3 linked regions of the Arabidopsis thaliana genome follow. The protein of the gene in region 1 interacts with the protein of each later gene in a biochemical or structural test. Each region holds a gene or a part of one and is shown in the gene's direction. Other genes may lie near its edges.

What was found.
Region 2: the proteins of PIF4 (region 1) and PHYA form a complex in vitro, tested with the Arabidopsis thaliana proteins (one study listed by BioGRID).
Region 3: the proteins of PIF4 (region 1) and DET1 form a complex in vitro, tested with the Arabidopsis thaliana proteins (one study listed by BioGRID).

Annotation. Positions count from the first base shown.
Region 1 is NC_003071.7:17,884,825-17,889,599, forward strand, and holds PIF4 (phytochrome interacting factor 4), read left to right. Parts: upstream 1-1,973; 5' UTR 1,974-2,052; coding exon 2,053-2,243; intron 2,244-2,333; coding exon 2,334-2,988; intron 2,989-3,080; coding exon 3,081-3,161; intron 3,162-3,289; coding exon 3,290-3,355; intron 3,356-3,435; coding exon 3,436-3,753; coding exon of another isoform or gene 3,754-3,783; exon of another isoform or gene 3,784-3,891; coding exon 3,892-3,999; 3' UTR 4,000-4,263; downstream 4,264-4,775. UniProt on the Arabidopsis thaliana protein: Transcription factor acting negatively in the phytochrome B signaling pathway. May regulate the expression of a subset of genes involved in cell expansion by binding to the G-box motif.
Region 2 is NC_003070.9:3,094,683-3,101,853, reverse strand, and holds PHYA (phytochrome A), read left to right. Parts: upstream 1-2,023; 5' UTR 2,024-2,426; coding exon 2,427-2,431; intron 2,432-2,630; coding exon 2,631-4,696; intron 4,697-4,894; coding exon 4,895-5,711; intron 5,712-5,781; coding exon 5,782-6,072; intron 6,073-6,154; coding exon 6,155-6,356; 3' UTR 6,357-6,651; downstream 6,652-7,171. Other genes in the region: AT1G09575 (calcium uniporter-like protein (DUF607)), read left to right, coding at 1-3. UniProt on the Arabidopsis thaliana protein: Regulatory photoreceptor which exists in two forms that are reversibly interconvertible by light: the Pr form that absorbs maximally in the red region of the spectrum and the Pfr form that absorbs maximally in the far-red region.
Region 3 is NC_003075.7:6,344,473-6,349,834, forward strand, and holds DET1 (light-mediated development protein 1 / deetiolated1 (DET1)), read left to right. Parts: upstream 1-1,938; 5' UTR 1,939-2,070; coding exon 2,071-2,142; intron 2,143-2,223; coding exon 2,224-2,886; intron 2,887-2,960; coding exon 2,961-3,152; intron 3,153-3,450; coding exon 3,451-3,519; intron 3,520-3,614; coding exon 3,615-3,671; intron 3,672-3,777; coding exon 3,778-3,858; intron 3,859-3,940; coding exon 3,941-4,102; intron 4,103-4,174; coding exon 4,175-4,270; intron 4,271-4,342; coding exon 4,343-4,442; intron 4,443-4,534; coding exon 4,535-4,674; 3' UTR 4,675-4,842; downstream 4,843-5,362. Other genes in the region: AT4G10170 (SNARE-like superfamily protein), read left to right, coding at 115-879. UniProt on the Arabidopsis thaliana protein: Component of light signal transduction machinery. Involved in repression of photomorphogenesis in darkness by participating in the CDD complex, a complex probably required to regulate the activity of ubiquitin conjugating enzymes (E2s).

The DNA of each region.
Region 1 (4,775 bases):
TTATCATGAGGTCGGTGGAAGCGGCGGAGCAACAGTTATTTTAACCGCCGCAACAAGTCTTCAATTCTCCTTCCTCTCCGCCGCCAATCTGCCGACAAGTTTCTTTTCGTCTTAAGAAAATATATTGGGTCTCGTTTCGTACAACAAAGTGTAGTGTTTGGGCTTTACTCAGAAGCCCATAAGTATTTTATTATTATTTTTAGACAGTAAGGCCCAATAGTATTTTATTGTTACTGTCTGCGCTGAAACAATTTATGTTTTTCAGCAAAGTAATATCTTACTAATCAGTAATTACATACACCGTAACACCATCACGAATTTTCAGTACACGACAGAGTATAGGTATGATTGACTGACAACAATATAAAAAGGCTAAATTAGTTAGACTGTCTTATTAATTAAAAAGTAATATTGTACTATTACTATACTACTTCACTTAAATATTTATTCGACACACAAAAATAAACCATTCGTGTGAATGTTTCCCAAACACATTTGGGGCCGAAGCATTCGAGCGGGCGTACCACTCCAATTACCTGGTACACATAATTGAAGACTATAGTATGAAAATTAATGTTTTATGTTTTTGTCACCTAAATTTTTAATAAAATGCAGTTGCAGTTTGGTTGTCATTGTTCTGTTGATCCGTTCATTCCGCGTCCTGTATTTGGCTATCACAATTTCAATCTATGAAAATTTGAAATCCGTATGGTCAAAATTATATTTTAAAACCACATTGCTAGAGAATAATTAAAAAAATAATAATCTTCATGTGGAATTTATAGAAATTAATGATATACATTTCAGGAAAACTTAGCATGAAGTATATTATTTTAATGTGATGATTTTAGAAATACAAACCGAGACGCGGTATGGGATATGGTCCATTACAAGTAGGCACAATGGTCCACTAATAATTGTTATTACGACAACAGAATTAATTGCCTATTTAAAACGAAATGAATCATCGAAGAACATACTAGATCTTTTTCCAATTTACAACCAAAAAAAACATTATTAGGTGAGTAGTAAAAAGATTAAGGTTATCAGAAACTAACTGTAGTAGTATGTTGTGTGAAATTCTTTTGTATTTCTTATTAAGCCAAGGGTGCCCTTTCAATGCAACGTGATAAACGCCAAAAACGATGATATGAACAATTATAAACTCGTTGAGAGCATTGAACTCGGATAATAAATCATCTTTTATATACATCGTAGATAACAAACAAACACGTAATTAAATTTGACGTATAGCAAAAGACTTGAAGAATAAAACGTCAAGTTAAAGATAATTTTGGTATATATGAGAAAGGTATCGACAAAAACCATAACGCTATAGATGATTGTGATTTGACAAAAACACCCTCAAATCATTGTTTTCAGAGTTTTTTTAGATAAGGTACAGATAAGAAACCACCTCTAAAAATCAAGCAATAGATCTCATCGCTTAAAAGAAGAGAGAGATCTTCACTTGTATGTGTCCCACTGATTCCAACACAATGTCCCAGAACTTGCCACGTGTCGTTCATTTCAAAAGATTGCAGTACTGTTGTCCCTAGAGAATCATTATCTCCCTCGCTGTAATATCTTTATGCTCCTGTCACTTTCTGTCTGTACCCAAAAGAAGTAATGAACCTCTCTCATCTTCTTCTTCTCTGTTTCTTTCATGTTTTGTGAGTTGTTTCTCAACAATTTTCTGGTCTCTTAGAGTGAGAGGAGAGAGATAGAGAGTTGTGTTGGGCGTGGAACTTGGACTAGTTCCACATATCAGGTTATATAGATCTTCTCTTTCAACTTCTGATTCGTCCAGAAGCTTTCCTAATCTGGTCAGTAGTACTCTTTTTATACGGGTTTTTGGTTTTATAAGATGTGGCTATATTTGGAAATAACTATTTTGCAAGCTTTCCTAGATTGCCAGAATATAAAAAAAGATGTTTAACAAGAGAACGGACTCATGGACTTGCTTTAAATTTTAATTATTTTAAAATCATTCTATAATGATTAGAGTAAATAAACTATTAGGACTCTGAATTATAAAATTCGATTTTATATATGCTCCTCCTTGTATCTCTTAATCATAAGTTATCATTAGCTCTGTTCACTAGTGCTATAAAATATATTCTGAGGTTAATAAAACTTTTTTTTCTTTTTATTTTGAAATGTCTCCAGAGATCTGACATGGAACACCAAGGTTGGAGTTTTGAGGAGAATTATAGTTTGTCCACTAATAGAAGATCTATCAGGTATTATTTAATAATCTTTGATCTAATGTTTTCATTCATTAAAAAAAAAACTTTATAATATAGTCTGTGTGTGTGTGTATTGATGTCTAGGCCACAAGATGAACTAGTGGAGTTATTATGGCGAGATGGACAAGTGGTTCTGCAGAGCCAAACTCATAGAGAACAAACCCAAACCCAGAAACAAGATCATCATGAAGAAGCCCTAAGATCCAGCACCTTTCTTGAAGATCAAGAAACTGTCTCTTGGATCCAATACCCTCCAGATGAAGACCCATTCGAACCCGACGACTTCTCCTCCCACTTCTTCTCAACCATGGATCCCCTCCAGAGACCAACCTCAGAGACGGTTAAGCCTAAGTCCAGTCCTGAACCTCCTCAAGTCATGGTTAAGCCTAAGGCCTGTCCTGACCCTCCTCCTCAAGTCATGCCTCCTCCAAAATTTAGGTTAACAAATTCATCATCGGGGATTAGGGAAACAGAAATGGAACAGTACTCGGTAACGACCGTTGGACCTAGCCATTGCGGAAGCAACCCATCACAGAACGATCTCGATGTCTCAATGAGTCATGATCGAAGCAAAAACATAGAAGAAAAGCTTAATCCGAACGCAAGTTCCTCATCAGGTGGCTCCTCTGGTTGCAGCTTTGGCAAAGATATCAAAGAAATGGCTAGTGGAAGATGCATCACAACCGACCGTAAGAGAAAACGTATAAATCACACTGACGAATCTGTATCTCTATCAGATGTATGCTTCCTTTAATTCTAACTCATGATAATTACTTCTTGAAAACGTAATCTTGGTCTATCTCAGAGAGTAATACATAATACATTTTGCAGGCAATCGGTAACAAGTCGAACCAACGATCAGGATCAAACCGAAGGAGTCGAGCAGCTGAAGTTCATAATCTCTCCGAAAGGGTACTTCATCGGTTCGTCTATATAATATATAATATATAGTTTAATGTTAGAGAATCGTATAACATTTATACAAAGAAAACAGATACAAAACTCTGTTTTTTATTTTCTTCTTTTCATAACTTAAATAGAGGAGGAGAGATAGGATCAATGAGAGAATGAAGGCTTTGCAAGAACTAATACCTCACTGCAGTAAAGTGAGTTGATACAAATCAAATCTAAAAGTGAATCAGATTAAGAAATGAAGATTGATTCATTCATTGGTGTGTTTTTGCAGACTGATAAAGCTTCGATTTTAGACGAAGCCATAGATTATTTGAAATCACTTCAGTTACAGCTTCAAGTGATGTGGATGGGGAGTGGAATGGCGGCGGCGGCGGCTTCGGCTCCGATGATGTTCCCCGGAGTTCAACCTCAGCAGTTCATACGTCAGATACAGAGCCCGGTACAGTTACCTCGATTTCCGGTTATGGATCAGTCTGCAATTCAGAACAATCCCGGTTTAGTTTGCCAAAACCCGGTACAAAACCAGATCATCTCCGACCGGTTTGCTAGATACATCGGTGGGTTCCCACACATGCAGGCCGCGACTCAGGTAAGGCCAATACGAAGCCGTGTTTATTAAACGACGATTTTGGTAAAATGTTTTTTGGGTTTACTACATTAATACGAGATAAGAAAAAATGTTAAACCGACGTAGTTTTAGTTGACACGTTGTGTGGTTTTTTATTAGATGCAGCCGATGGAGATGTTGAGATTTAGTTCACCGGCGGGACAGCAAAGTCAACAACCGTCGTCTGTGCCGACGAAGACCACCGACGGTTCTCGTTTGGACCACTAGGTTGGTGAGCCACTTTTTTACTTCCTTATTTTTGGTATGTTTCTTTTTTATATCTATCTTTCTGAACATACTTAAAACGTTCAAGGATGTATTATTATAGAGTAAACGTGCAACTTCATTACGTTATTTTCTGTATATGTGAGTTTATGTATGTCAAAATGACATGATGAGATTTTTTGTAAACAACATCTTAAAAACAGGACATGTGATTTTTGTAATCGTAAAAACTTTGGGATGCAGTTTATTTTCTAATCAAAACAAGGATATATCTAAGTAATCGAAATTTTTTTCGAAAATAGAACTAGATGACACTTATAGATTATAGATCACACCTAATTTTGAAGATGTATCTAAAAGTCCATTCAATTTTTCTCTGTTCCCCTAATAAGAAATCATATGTTCATATTCAAAAAATAAGAAACACAAAAAAAAACTTTAAGAAAAACACAGATGATCAACCGTCTGGCTAGAGTTTGGTAAAATATTAATATCTTATGATTTCATATTGTTCCATAAATAAATAAAAAATCATAACATAAGCTTTTCTTGCTGATTGTCTAAAATTATGTATAGATGGAAAAAGCCAAATCACATGTGATGGAGCCAGATTTGAGTGAGAGTCATGTGTCAATTGTCAAAAACATCGACATTATAAGTCTTTAAGCCATGTGCATACTGGTCAGAATCTATTTAGCAATAATTGAGTTAAATATCTTAGATATTTTTGCATACTGTTTTCATATATAAATTTATTCCAAAGTTTGAAATAGTCGATC
Region 2 (7,171 bases), on another chromosome or scaffold:
TGATTATTATGAAAAACTTTCTTCATGTCCTCCGGTGGTTCATCAAACTGAAGAAGAAGATGATCAGTCCTTGCAAAAGAGTGACAAAGATTGTTTTCCGTCATCTTCTTCTACTTCTTATACATAAGTAACCATTGACATTGTTTATTACAGTGACGATAACAGATTTTAAATGTTCTTTTTAATACGGAAGTTTTGGTGTAAAGAACCATTTTCTTTATTTTCGTATATAGATTATTGGCCTTGTTTCACACAAATACACACATTAAAAACCGAGAAAACACATGGTAATGAACAGTTGTTTTGAGAGTTCAATATCAAAAGAGTGAAAATGAAATAGCTCTCAAAGGGCGCCTTAAAGTTCCAAACCATCACATCCCTAGTGATTGAAGCGTTCTTGGCCGGCCATTAAGAAGTCTCCTAAGCTCATATTTGTTTTGTTCTTCAAAGTGTTATTCCTGAAATGGGATTAGTACCTTTTGCCAATTCAGATATGTGCAACATGGGCCATGACTATGTCTAATGGATGATACTGTGTTGCTAGGACAACATTTGCATTATGGAGGCACATTTTTGGTCCAACATAGCTGTGCCACAATATCTATGCTGAATTGCGCTGTCTAGATAAGACGTTGTCGATTCGATCTTCTCCGGAGATTTACTGCAAAAAACTTAGGGGGAGATTTAACTTTAAGAGGATAGAAGCAAAATACCTAAGAAAACATGGTAACGTGGATTTGCGATAAGAACGAATCGAAGTTTGACAATGATGTTAAAACGATATGGATTTTGTTTGACGAAAAAAAAATAAAACCTTAATAACGATTTTTTTACCCTTTTTATATAAAAAATAAAACAAATTTAAATTCTTCGAATAAACTTAAATTAGTTTTACAAATTTTATTACTTTCTTTCAACGATAAAAAAAAATACAAAAAAGGAAAGTCCCAACTTTGAAGTAAATCCCAGAAACAGATTACAAAACGCAAAAAGCCGAGAAAACGTGAAGCCCATAAGACTATCGTTGTCGTCTTCCTCAAAACCCAACTTTCTACTTCTGGTTACTGCCTTCATTAAACAACTACCACCATCTTTCTTTCTCTCTCTCTTTCTCGTTTTTTTATTTTATTAATAATCTTTTTTTTTTTTTTTACTTTTGATCTCTTATCCTTTGGACGATTCTCTTCAATCGGATTTATAAGAATCAACCCCATTTTGTTCTTCTTCCACTTTACTTCTTTTTTCCTCATTACACAGTCTTAGTCACATCGGTGAAAATATCAATTAATATTCCCCAGAAAGTTGCCAAGATTTACAAGTAGTAGTACTTGATATATCTTAAGCCCACTGTTCTGTTTTAGCGAGGAAAATGTTACCGGCGAAGCCGACCCTGTTCTTGATATGTGTGTGAAGTTTGTCTTTTATCCAAATTAAGCTTTTTTCTTCTTTTATTTTATTCCATTATAAAATATACAAATCGCCCATACTCCGAGACATGGGCATACGTATTCGGGGTGGTCCCATTCATCGTCGTCGTCTGTGTTAGGGAGCACAAATAATAGAGAGGCGTAGCACAAGAGAGAAGGTGGTGATCGAGGCCAAGATTTAGAATTTAACTATAACAAAAAGCCTCTGACGAGTGTGACTAGTCACAAGATCTGATCATGGCTTCTTGAAACTTCTTCTTCTTCTTTCTTCTCTTTAAAGGTACCTACTTTCCTTTTCCCAAAGTTTCCTCCTTTTTTTTCTTTTTTTAACTATATATATTGAAGCTTGCTTCGATTGATTTCTGCTGGGAGCTTACCAGCTAGCTACTGGTCTCACTCTTCTTACTGAAATTGATTCTAACTTTGAAGTTAATTTCTTAAAGCTATCCTCTGTTGTCATCAATACCCTCTTGTTTTCTGCGATATAAAGGTTTTGTAGGTCTCTTTCGATCTGGCTTGATGTGTGTTTGTTTTACTCAACTTTTTATAGTGTGTGATCATTTATGAGAAGAAGCATCCAATTAATTAATCTCATCCTTTTATCGCTTTTAACTCCTACGATTGCTTTCCCTGTGGGGACTTTATTGTTCCTTTTGAAAGGTATAGCTAGCTATAAAGACTCTTAAGAGTTTATTATTGAGTCTACTTTATGTATGTAGCTGTGTTTGAATCTTGAGAGGCTGATATTAGCTCAGATCCTCGTTTTGTTAGTATTTGTGTAGTGGATTTACCCTGTTAACTATCAACTATTATTTGTGCGACTTGTTCATAGTCAAGATGTTGTTGATTTTGGATTGTAGGATGACTTAGAAAGGAAGTGTTCATGGAATCTGACTGGTTCAGTTACTTTGAAAATGATAAATCATTGAACCTTGGAATATGACACGATGATTCCTGCATCTGTTGCGTCCTGTTTCTGGGTTTAGCTATGTATTCTCGATGGAGTTAGTCAAGTTCATAACTCTTTTTACTGTGTGTTTGAAATTCTGAATTGGTTCTTAGTGTTTCAAGTTTATGCTTATGCATTCGCTTGTATGACTGGTGATGAATGTTTTTGTGTTCATATGATTATGGCATGAATGTTTTATTCCCTCTTTTATCAGAGTTTTGCACTTATTTTTTGTTGTCTTGTCTCTGTGTCAGGAAAAAAATGTCAGGCTCTAGGCCGACTCAGTCCTCTGAGGGCTCAAGGCGATCAAGGCACAGCGCTAGGATCATTGCGCAGACCACTGTAGATGCGAAACTCCATGCTGATTTTGAGGAGTCAGGCAGCTCCTTTGATTACTCAACCTCAGTGCGTGTCACTGGCCCGGTTGTGGAGAATCAGCCACCAAGGTCTGACAAAGTTACCACGACTTATCTTCATCATATACAGAAGGGAAAGCTGATTCAGCCCTTCGGTTGTTTACTTGCCTTGGATGAGAAGACCTTCAAAGTTATTGCATACAGCGAGAATGCATCTGAGCTGTTGACAATGGCCAGTCATGCAGTTCCTAGTGTTGGCGAACACCCTGTTCTAGGCATTGGGACAGATATAAGGAGTCTTTTCACTGCTCCTAGTGCGTCTGCATTGCAGAAAGCCCTTGGATTTGGAGATGTCTCTCTTTTGAATCCCATTCTTGTGCACTGCAGGACTTCTGCAAAGCCCTTTTATGCGATTATCCACAGGGTTACAGGGAGCATCATCATCGACTTTGAACCCGTGAAGCCTTATGAAGTCCCCATGACAGCTGCTGGTGCCTTACAATCATACAAGCTCGCTGCCAAAGCAATCACTAGGCTGCAATCTTTACCCAGCGGGAGTATGGAAAGGCTTTGTGATACAATGGTTCAAGAGGTTTTTGAACTCACGGGGTATGACAGGGTGATGGCTTATAAGTTTCATGAAGATGATCACGGTGAGGTTGTCTCCGAGGTTACAAAACCTGGGCTGGAGCCTTATCTTGGGCTGCATTATCCTGCCACCGACATCCCTCAAGCAGCCCGTTTTCTGTTTATGAAGAACAAGGTCCGGATGATAGTTGATTGCAATGCAAAACATGCTAGGGTGCTTCAAGATGAAAAGCTTTCCTTTGACCTTACCTTGTGTGGCTCCACCCTTAGAGCACCGCACAGCTGCCATTTGCAGTACATGGCCAACATGGATTCAATTGCATCTCTGGTTATGGCGGTTGTAGTTAACGAGGAAGATGGAGAAGGGGATGCTCCTGATGCTACTACACAGCCTCAAAAGAGAAAGAGACTATGGGGTTTAGTGGTTTGTCACAATACGACTCCGAGGTTTGTTCCATTTCCTCTCAGGTATGCCTGTGAGTTTCTAGCTCAAGTGTTTGCCATACACGTCAATAAGGAGGTGGAACTCGATAACCAGATGGTGGAGAAGAACATTTTGCGCACGCAGACACTCTTGTGCGATATGCTGATGCGTGATGCTCCACTGGGTATTGTGTCGCAAAGCCCCAACATAATGGACCTTGTGAAATGTGATGGAGCAGCTCTCTTGTATAAAGACAAGATATGGAAACTGGGAACAACTCCAAGTGAGTTCCACCTGCAGGAGATAGCTTCATGGTTGTGTGAATACCACATGGATTCAACGGGTTTGAGCACTGATAGTTTGCATGACGCCGGGTTTCCTAGGGCTCTATCTCTCGGGGATTCGGTATGTGGGATGGCAGCTGTGAGGATATCATCGAAAGACATGATTTTCTGGTTCCGTTCTCATACCGCTGGTGAAGTGAGATGGGGAGGTGCGAAGCATGATCCAGATGATAGGGATGATGCAAGGAGAATGCACCCAAGGTCATCGTTCAAGGCTTTCCTTGAAGTGGTCAAGACAAGGAGTTTACCTTGGAAGGACTATGAGATGGATGCCATACACTCCTTGCAACTTATTTTGAGGAATGCTTTCAAGGATAGTGAAACTACTGATGTGAATACAAAGGTCATTTACTCGAAGCTAAATGATCTCAAAATTGATGGTATACAAGAACTAGAAGCTGTGACCAGTGAGATGGTTCGTTTAATTGAGACTGCTACGGTGCCAATATTGGCGGTTGATTCTGATGGACTGGTTAATGGTTGGAACACGAAAATTGCTGAGCTGACTGGTCTTTCGGTTGATGAAGCAATCGGGAAGCATTTCCTCACACTTGTTGAAGATTCTTCAGTGGAAATCGTTAAAAGGATGCTAGAGAACGCATTAGAAGGTAAACTCTCTTCCTAAGTTATGCTGAGTTTGCTAAGAATCTTCCAACTAGATTTCACTATTCAAGTTCCAATTGAGTATCGTGGTCGAAGAAACTTGATGCAATGTGTTGTTTTTGGTTCTTAATGATGGAATTTTGTTTTCCAATTTTATCAAACACTGAAGCCGAGTCTATAACTTCACTTGCTTATCTATGCAGGAACTGAGGAGCAGAATGTCCAGTTTGAGATCAAGACACATCTGTCCAGGGCTGATGCTGGGCCAATAAGTTTAGTTGTAAATGCATGCGCAAGTAGAGATCTCCATGAAAACGTGGTTGGGGTGTGTTTTGTAGCCCATGATCTTACTGGCCAGAAGACTGTGATGGACAAGTTTACGCGGATTGAAGGTGATTACAAGGCAATCATCCAAAATCCAAACCCGCTGATCCCGCCAATATTTGGTACCGATGAGTTTGGATGGTGCACAGAGTGGAATCCAGCAATGTCAAAGTTAACCGGTTTGAAGCGAGAGGAAGTGATTGACAAAATGCTCTTAGGAGAAGTATTTGGGACGCAGAAGTCATGTTGTCGTCTAAAGAATCAAGAAGCCTTTGTAAACCTTGGGATTGTGCTGAACAATGCTGTGACCAGTCAAGATCCAGAGAAAGTATCGTTTGCTTTCTTTACAAGAGGTGGCAAGTATGTGGAGTGTCTGTTGTGTGTGAGTAAGAAACTGGACAGGGAAGGTGTAGTGACAGGTGTCTTCTGTTTCCTGCAACTTGCCAGCCATGAGCTGCAGCAAGCGCTCCATGTTCAACGTTTAGCTGAGCGAACCGCAGTGAAGAGACTAAAGGCTCTAGCATACATAAAAAGACAGATCAGGAATCCGCTATCTGGGATCATGTTTACAAGGAAAATGATAGAGGGTACTGAATTAGGACCAGAGCAAAGACGGATTTTGCAAACTAGCGCGTTATGTCAGAAGCAACTAAGCAAGATCCTCGATGATTCGGATCTTGAAAGCATCATTGAAGGGTATGCTAGAATGAAAGTCCATTTAAAATATGGTTTATCTGTGTTCTTATGTTGGAATTTGACTGTGCAGATGCTTGGATTTGGAAATGAAAGAATTCACCTTAAATGAAGTGTTGACTGCTTCCACAAGTCAAGTAATGATGAAGAGTAACGGAAAGAGTGTTCGGATAACAAATGAGACCGGAGAAGAAGTAATGTCTGACACTTTGTATGGAGACAGTATTAGGCTTCAACAAGTCTTGGCAGATTTCATGCTGATGGCTGTAAACTTTACACCATCCGGAGGTCAGCTAACTGTTTCAGCTTCCCTGAGGAAGGATCAGCTCGGGCGTTCTGTGCATCTTGCTAATCTAGAGATCAGGTAAAATAGATATATTCATAATCAGAATGCATAATATGATGTTAAAAACAGTGCATTGAGGATATTGGGATTATGAAAACAGGTTAACGCATACCGGAGCTGGGATACCTGAGTTTTTACTAAACCAAATGTTTGGGACTGAGGAAGATGTGTCAGAAGAAGGATTGAGCTTAATGGTTAGCCGGAAACTGGTGAAGCTGATGAATGGAGATGTTCAGTACTTGAGACAAGCTGGGAAATCAAGTTTCATTATCACTGCGGAACTCGCTGCAGCAAACAAGTAGTCCCCAAAAGAAAAGGGGTCTGGCTTGATATAAAATAGTCACTGGTTGTTCTTTGCTTGTAACTTTCCTTATCGCTTTTGTTTTCGTTTTCAAATTTCAGTAACGATGAAATATCCATCCATTTACATCTTCTGTTGAACTCTTTTCTGAAGCTGTAAATATGGATGCATATCTAATCTCCTCCTGAGTGTTTTGGTTTCATGATGTATCATTCAAAATAAGTAATATAGGAGAAATGAGCTAATGTTTACGGTCCATGGTTTATCATAATGGCAGAAACTCAAACAAATATTCTATCTAGTTTCATATAATCTCCTTCTTTTAAGGTATTAGAGGTAATGCATGATTCGTGACTATGTTGCAAGAAGTCTTGGTTTCAAACAATTAGCTTTGGCTCAACTCCATGAAGAAGCAAACATAGTTCTTCGAACTTAACAGAGATCTATTAGCTGGCCATATGAAGTACACTTAGTTTTCTGTTAGAAGAAGCACATGGTGTGTGAAGTAAAAAATAAGTTATCATGTTAATTAAGTAATCAGTTTTATTAGACCCATACGTTAAGAGTCTCTCAAGTTGATTATTTTATCTGAAAAGTCAGATAAATTAGCTTACCTGTTTTGAAAGCTTTTAGATTAGATCAACCTCGACTTCTTACCTGTCTTTAGTCAACTTTGAACAAAAAATAATATGGATTATACAAGAAGACGAATACATGAGACTATGGAGCTCAAATGCACACTGAAGATCATCAGTTATTGTTCCTTTTTTATTACAGAAGACAAATCAAAGAAGATAAAAAGATCTTCCCTTTAGA
Region 3 (5,362 bases), on another chromosome or scaffold:
ACTTTCTCTCTGACTCCATCATCTCAATTTCTCTCTTCTTCTTTGCTCTAATCACAGACTTCTCTTCTTTCCTCTTCTGTCTCAATTTGATTTCTTAAAAAAACAAAAAAAAAGATGGGTTTAATCAAGAACACAGTTCATTACTGTTGTGTCTCAAGAGACAATCAGATTCTTTACTCTTACAACGGTGGAGACCAAACCAACGAGAGTCTTGCTGCTCTGTGTTTAGAAAAGTCTCCTCCTTTTCATACTTGGTACTTTGAAACTATTGGTAAAAGAAGATTTGGGTTTTTAATTGGAGATGGGTTTGTTTATTTCGCCATTGTTGATGAGGTTTTGAAGAGATCTAGTGTTCTTAAGTTTCTTGAACATTTGAGAGATGAATTTAAGAAAGCTGCTAGGGAGAATTCTAGAGGAAGTTTTACTGCTATGATTGGTTCTATTAATGTTGAAGATCAGCTTGTTCCTGTTGTTACTAGACTTATAGCTTCTCTTGAACGTGTTGCTGAGAGTAGTAGTAACAATGAATTGAAGAGTAGTAATCTTGGTGAACAAAGCGAAGGTTCGAATTCTACTAAAGCTCCGTTGTTGGGGAGGTTAAGTAAGCAAGAGAAGAAGAAAGGGAAAGATCATGTGATTGAGCTTGAGGAACACAGGAAGTCTAATGATAGAGGGAACATAACCGATGATTCAGCGGGAGCTGGAACGTCGTTGGAGAAGGAGTGTGTGTCGAGTAGTGGACGTTCTGTTACTCAAAGCTTTGAATGGAAATGGCGGCGGTTAGTTCAGATTGTTCTTGCTATTGATGCAGCTATTTGCTTGACACTGTTTGGTATTTGGTTGGCTATATGTCGGGGTATCGAGTGTACACGTTCGTGATTGTGCAGACAGAAAATCGGATAAACAGAGTCGATTCTTTACATTCCCTTGTGCATTCCAATAGGCAAAAAATATGTTGATTGTAATGTGAAGCATTCTTAAGTTATAATTTGGCTTATGTATTGCTTTAGTCACAGCTTTGAAATATGTACAGTCGGATTCTAGATTCTGTTCAGTGTTCTTTGTGACTTCACGATACAGTAACGTCCATCTTTATATGATTTAAATTGTTTGAGCTTCAACTTCAAACTCAATCCTCTTTCAAGTTCCCTAAGTAAGGCCCTCACTAGCAAAGAAGCTGGCTTTGAGATGCATAAGGCTTTACCAACAAGTGTATTGATTGTATGATTCGTTCCAACAAGTGTATTGCCACTGCAGTTCTTGTTGTTACCGATCAACAAAATGGGAAGTAAAAAATGGTAGGTAGATAGGAACCGATCCGAAAAAAGTTCCGAAACCGAACTGAACAGTCACAAAATCCGAACGGATAATGAATTCACCTACCCAAATTACTTCAGCCGAATCCGATTCCGAATCAAAAACCGAATAAATATCCGCTAATCCGAAATAAAATTATATCTATCTAAAAATATTAGTTACAGGTTTATACCCAAAAATTTCTAAATAACAAAAATATTAGTTACAGGTTTATACGTCCGAATTTTTAAGTTATATTTGTTACAATTATACAATTTTTTTTGCAAAATTAAACCAATTTTATTAAAACGGAACAATATATATTTTTTTTTCTCAAAAACCGATCCGAATCCGACACTATCCGAACCGAAACCAAACCGAATAGTCATAAAACCCGACCGGATAATAAACTTTCCCATCTGAATCCGAAAATCCGAACCGAATCCGATCCAAAATCCGATCCAAAATGTGAATGTCCATACTTAAGCTCCGACTAAGCAAAGCAATACAACAAGAGAAATTGTACAAAGAGGAAGTAGTACCGATAAGTGCCAATGACCCAATTTTGCAACTATTGGGCCATTTTCAAACACCAATATCAGGCCCATTAACAGATTGAGAGAAACCAACCTCCCAAAAGAGAAAAATCAACAGAACCAAAACAAAGCCACAGTATCTCTCTCTCTCTCTCTCTCACTCACATCGTCTCCTCCATTTTCACCACTAAAACCAGACCAAAAACCTTCCTTTATTCGTGCCCTTCTGGGCCAACAAATGTTCACAAGCGGTAACGTCACCGCTCGGGTCTTCGAACGTCAGATTCGAACTCCTCCTCCCGGCGCTTCCGTCAGTCCCCAAATCTCTCTCTCTGTCTCAATCTCTCAATCTCAATCTCTCTTTTGCTTATCTCTTTACCTTCAATGATAGGTAAATCGTGCAAGACACTTCTACGAAAACCTAGTCCCAAGCTACACACTCTACGATGTCGAATCTCCCGATCACTGTTTCCGCAAATTCACAGAAGACGGACTCTTCCTCATTAGTTTCAGCCGTAACCATCAAGAACTCATAGTCTATCGTCCTTCTTGGCTCACTTACTCCACAACCGATGATTCCACAACCACCCTACCTCCTCTACCTCGCCGTGCTTCGAAATTCGACAGCTTTTTCACTCAACTCTACTCAGTCAATCTCGCTTCTTCTAACGAACTCATCTGCAAAGACTTCTTCCTCTATCACCAAACTCGTCGTTTCGGTCTTTTCGCTACTTCAACAGCTCAGATCCATGATTCATCATCTCCTTCTAATGACGCTGTTCCTGGTGTTCCTTCCATTGATAAGATTACTTTCGTACTTCTTCGATTAGATGATGGTGTTGTTCTTGATGAGAGGGTTTTTCTTCATGATTTCGTTAATCTGGCTCATAATATGGGTGTGTTTCTTTATGATGATCTTTTAGCGATTTTGTCGTTGCGTTATCAGAGGATTCATCTTCTTCAGATTAGAGATTCTGGTCATCTTGTTGATGCTCGTGCTATTGGTTACTTTTGTCGTGAAGATGATGAGCTTTTCCTCAATTCTAGCTCTCAGGTAAGCAAAGTTTTTACAGTATCTTTCTCTGGAGTAGATAAAGTTTTGAGCTTTGTGAGGTTTTTGATTGTTAGGCAATGATGAGTCAAGATAAGAGTAAACAGCAGAGTTTATCTGGGAGTAAGGAAGATGATACTGGAGAGAATGGGTTGCGTCATAGTCTAAGTCAGCCAAGTGGTTCGAATTCGTTTCTTAGTGGTGTTAAGCAACGGTTACTTTCTTTTATCTTCAGGGAGATTTGGAATGAAGAATCAGATAACGTAATGGTTCGTTGTTCTTCAACTTCTCTTATCACTTTATGAAATTGCTCTGAGTTTCACAATCTTGTACATTAAATGGGTTATGTTTGTGTACTGCTTGGCTTCCTCTGTTAGATGTTGAGTAGGATAACAGAAGTTTAAGGTTTAGGATTGATGCAGTTGACAGTGACTTCTTAGTTGATGCAGCTTATCATATACATGCTCTTTGCATTTTCGACCTTTCGTTGTAGTTTGCAATGTGTGTCGTATTGAAACACTACATCTTGGATACGAACTAATCGAAAGGCACTATTTGATTTGACAGAGAGTTCAAAGTCTTAAGAAGAAGTTTTATTTCCATTTCCAGGATTATGTCGACTTGATTATATGGAAGGTAATCAATTATGTGTTTCTGCTTTTGGAATCTGTGTCAAGTGTTTGGATTTGATGGTGAAAAAAACTAATCTTTTGTGTATTCTTGATGTCCAGGTTCAGTTTTTGGATCGACAACACCTGCTAATCAAATTTGGAAGTGTAGACGGTGGGGTAAGCTCTCTATAATACAAATTCATGGTTACATTGAACTGATACTGTCATTTTCAGAAATTACAATTTGATTGATTAGACTTATGATTGTTGATGGGTTACTCAGGTAACAAGAAGTGCTGATCATCATCCAGCTTTCTTCGCGGTGTATAATATGGAGACTACTGACATTGTAGCATTCTATCAGGTAAAATGGATGTCATTTTGGCCAGTTATTTTGTGGAATTTGCATCTACTTATAACTTGACTTAGTACATTACTATATGCAGAACTCAGCAGAAGATCTTTACCAATTATTTGAGCAGTTCAGTGATCACTTTACAGTATCAAGTAGTACACCGTTCATGAACTTTGTAACATCGCATTCTAACAACGTCTATGCCCTTGAACAACTAAAATACACGAAGAACAAATCAAACAGTTTTTCTCAGGTAAGTACATCTCTGTATTTCGATATGTTGGTTTTTATGAGAGAGTTGAATCTAATCAATTTTTCTATACAGTTTGTGAAGAAGATGTTACTCTCTTTGCCTTTCAGTTGTCAGTCACAAAGTCCCTCCCCATATTTCGACCAGTCTCTCTTCCGGTTCGATGAAAAGGTAACCATTCTATAAACCCTTATTCTCTTCAACTTCAGGATTGAGTTAAGTTAATTTCGGATATGGTTACAGTTAATATCCGCAGCAGATAGGCATAGGCAATCCTCAGACAACCCAATCAAGTTCATATCTCGAAGGCAACCGCAAACCCTGAAATTCAAGATAAAACCAGGTTGGTTGTTTTAGTTGTTTAGATATTAAGATGACGAAAACCCAAACCGCACGGAACATGATTTAACGTTAGGATTGTCTAATGGTGAACAGGACCAGAGTGTGGAACTGCAGATGGTCGAAGCAAGAAGATATGTTCATTCTTGTTCCATCCTCATTTACCACTTGCCATCTCTATTCAACAAACACTTTTCATGCCACCTTCTGTCGTCAATATCCATTTTAGGCGATGACTCTTTTTGGTTTCTATCAGTCTAGTAGTCTTCCTACATGTTGTAATCTATTGTTTGTAACAAAAGTTCAGTAAAACCTCTATAAATTCCGAGTTGGGCCGATGTAAAAATTAACAAACTTCGATAAAATAATAATATAATAATCTTTTGGAAAGCTTTATATAAAAATATGGTTTTAATGTCTTTTAAGTATTGAATCTTGTTAGAGTTTGTCTCTAACTTTTATTCTATCAAACAATTGTTTTGTCTCTAAGTCTGATTGAATTATGTTGGGGTTTTCAATTGTCAAATTATAGAATCGTTTATAACTTTGTAAAAAAATTAGCCATAATGTTTTGTAAGTTTCTAATTTCTTAGTATGCATCATTTTCAATTATAGTTTTTGTGATTTATTGTCAAATGAGCTTTTTAAATATTAAATTTTCAATTATATTACTATAAAATTTATAACATCTCATAGTTTCTAAAATTTGAAAAATTAAAACAAATATCTCTATAAATTAATAATTTAAATTTAAATTAATATATTAATTATAGATAAATTATTAATCACTATAATTAATAAAATATCATACTTCCATCTTTATTAATTTATAGAGGTTTTACTGTATCTCAAAACACATAATACATGCAAAAAGTGTTTGAATCTTAAAAAGGAAGAAATAACTAGGAGGTGTTATTGGTTCCT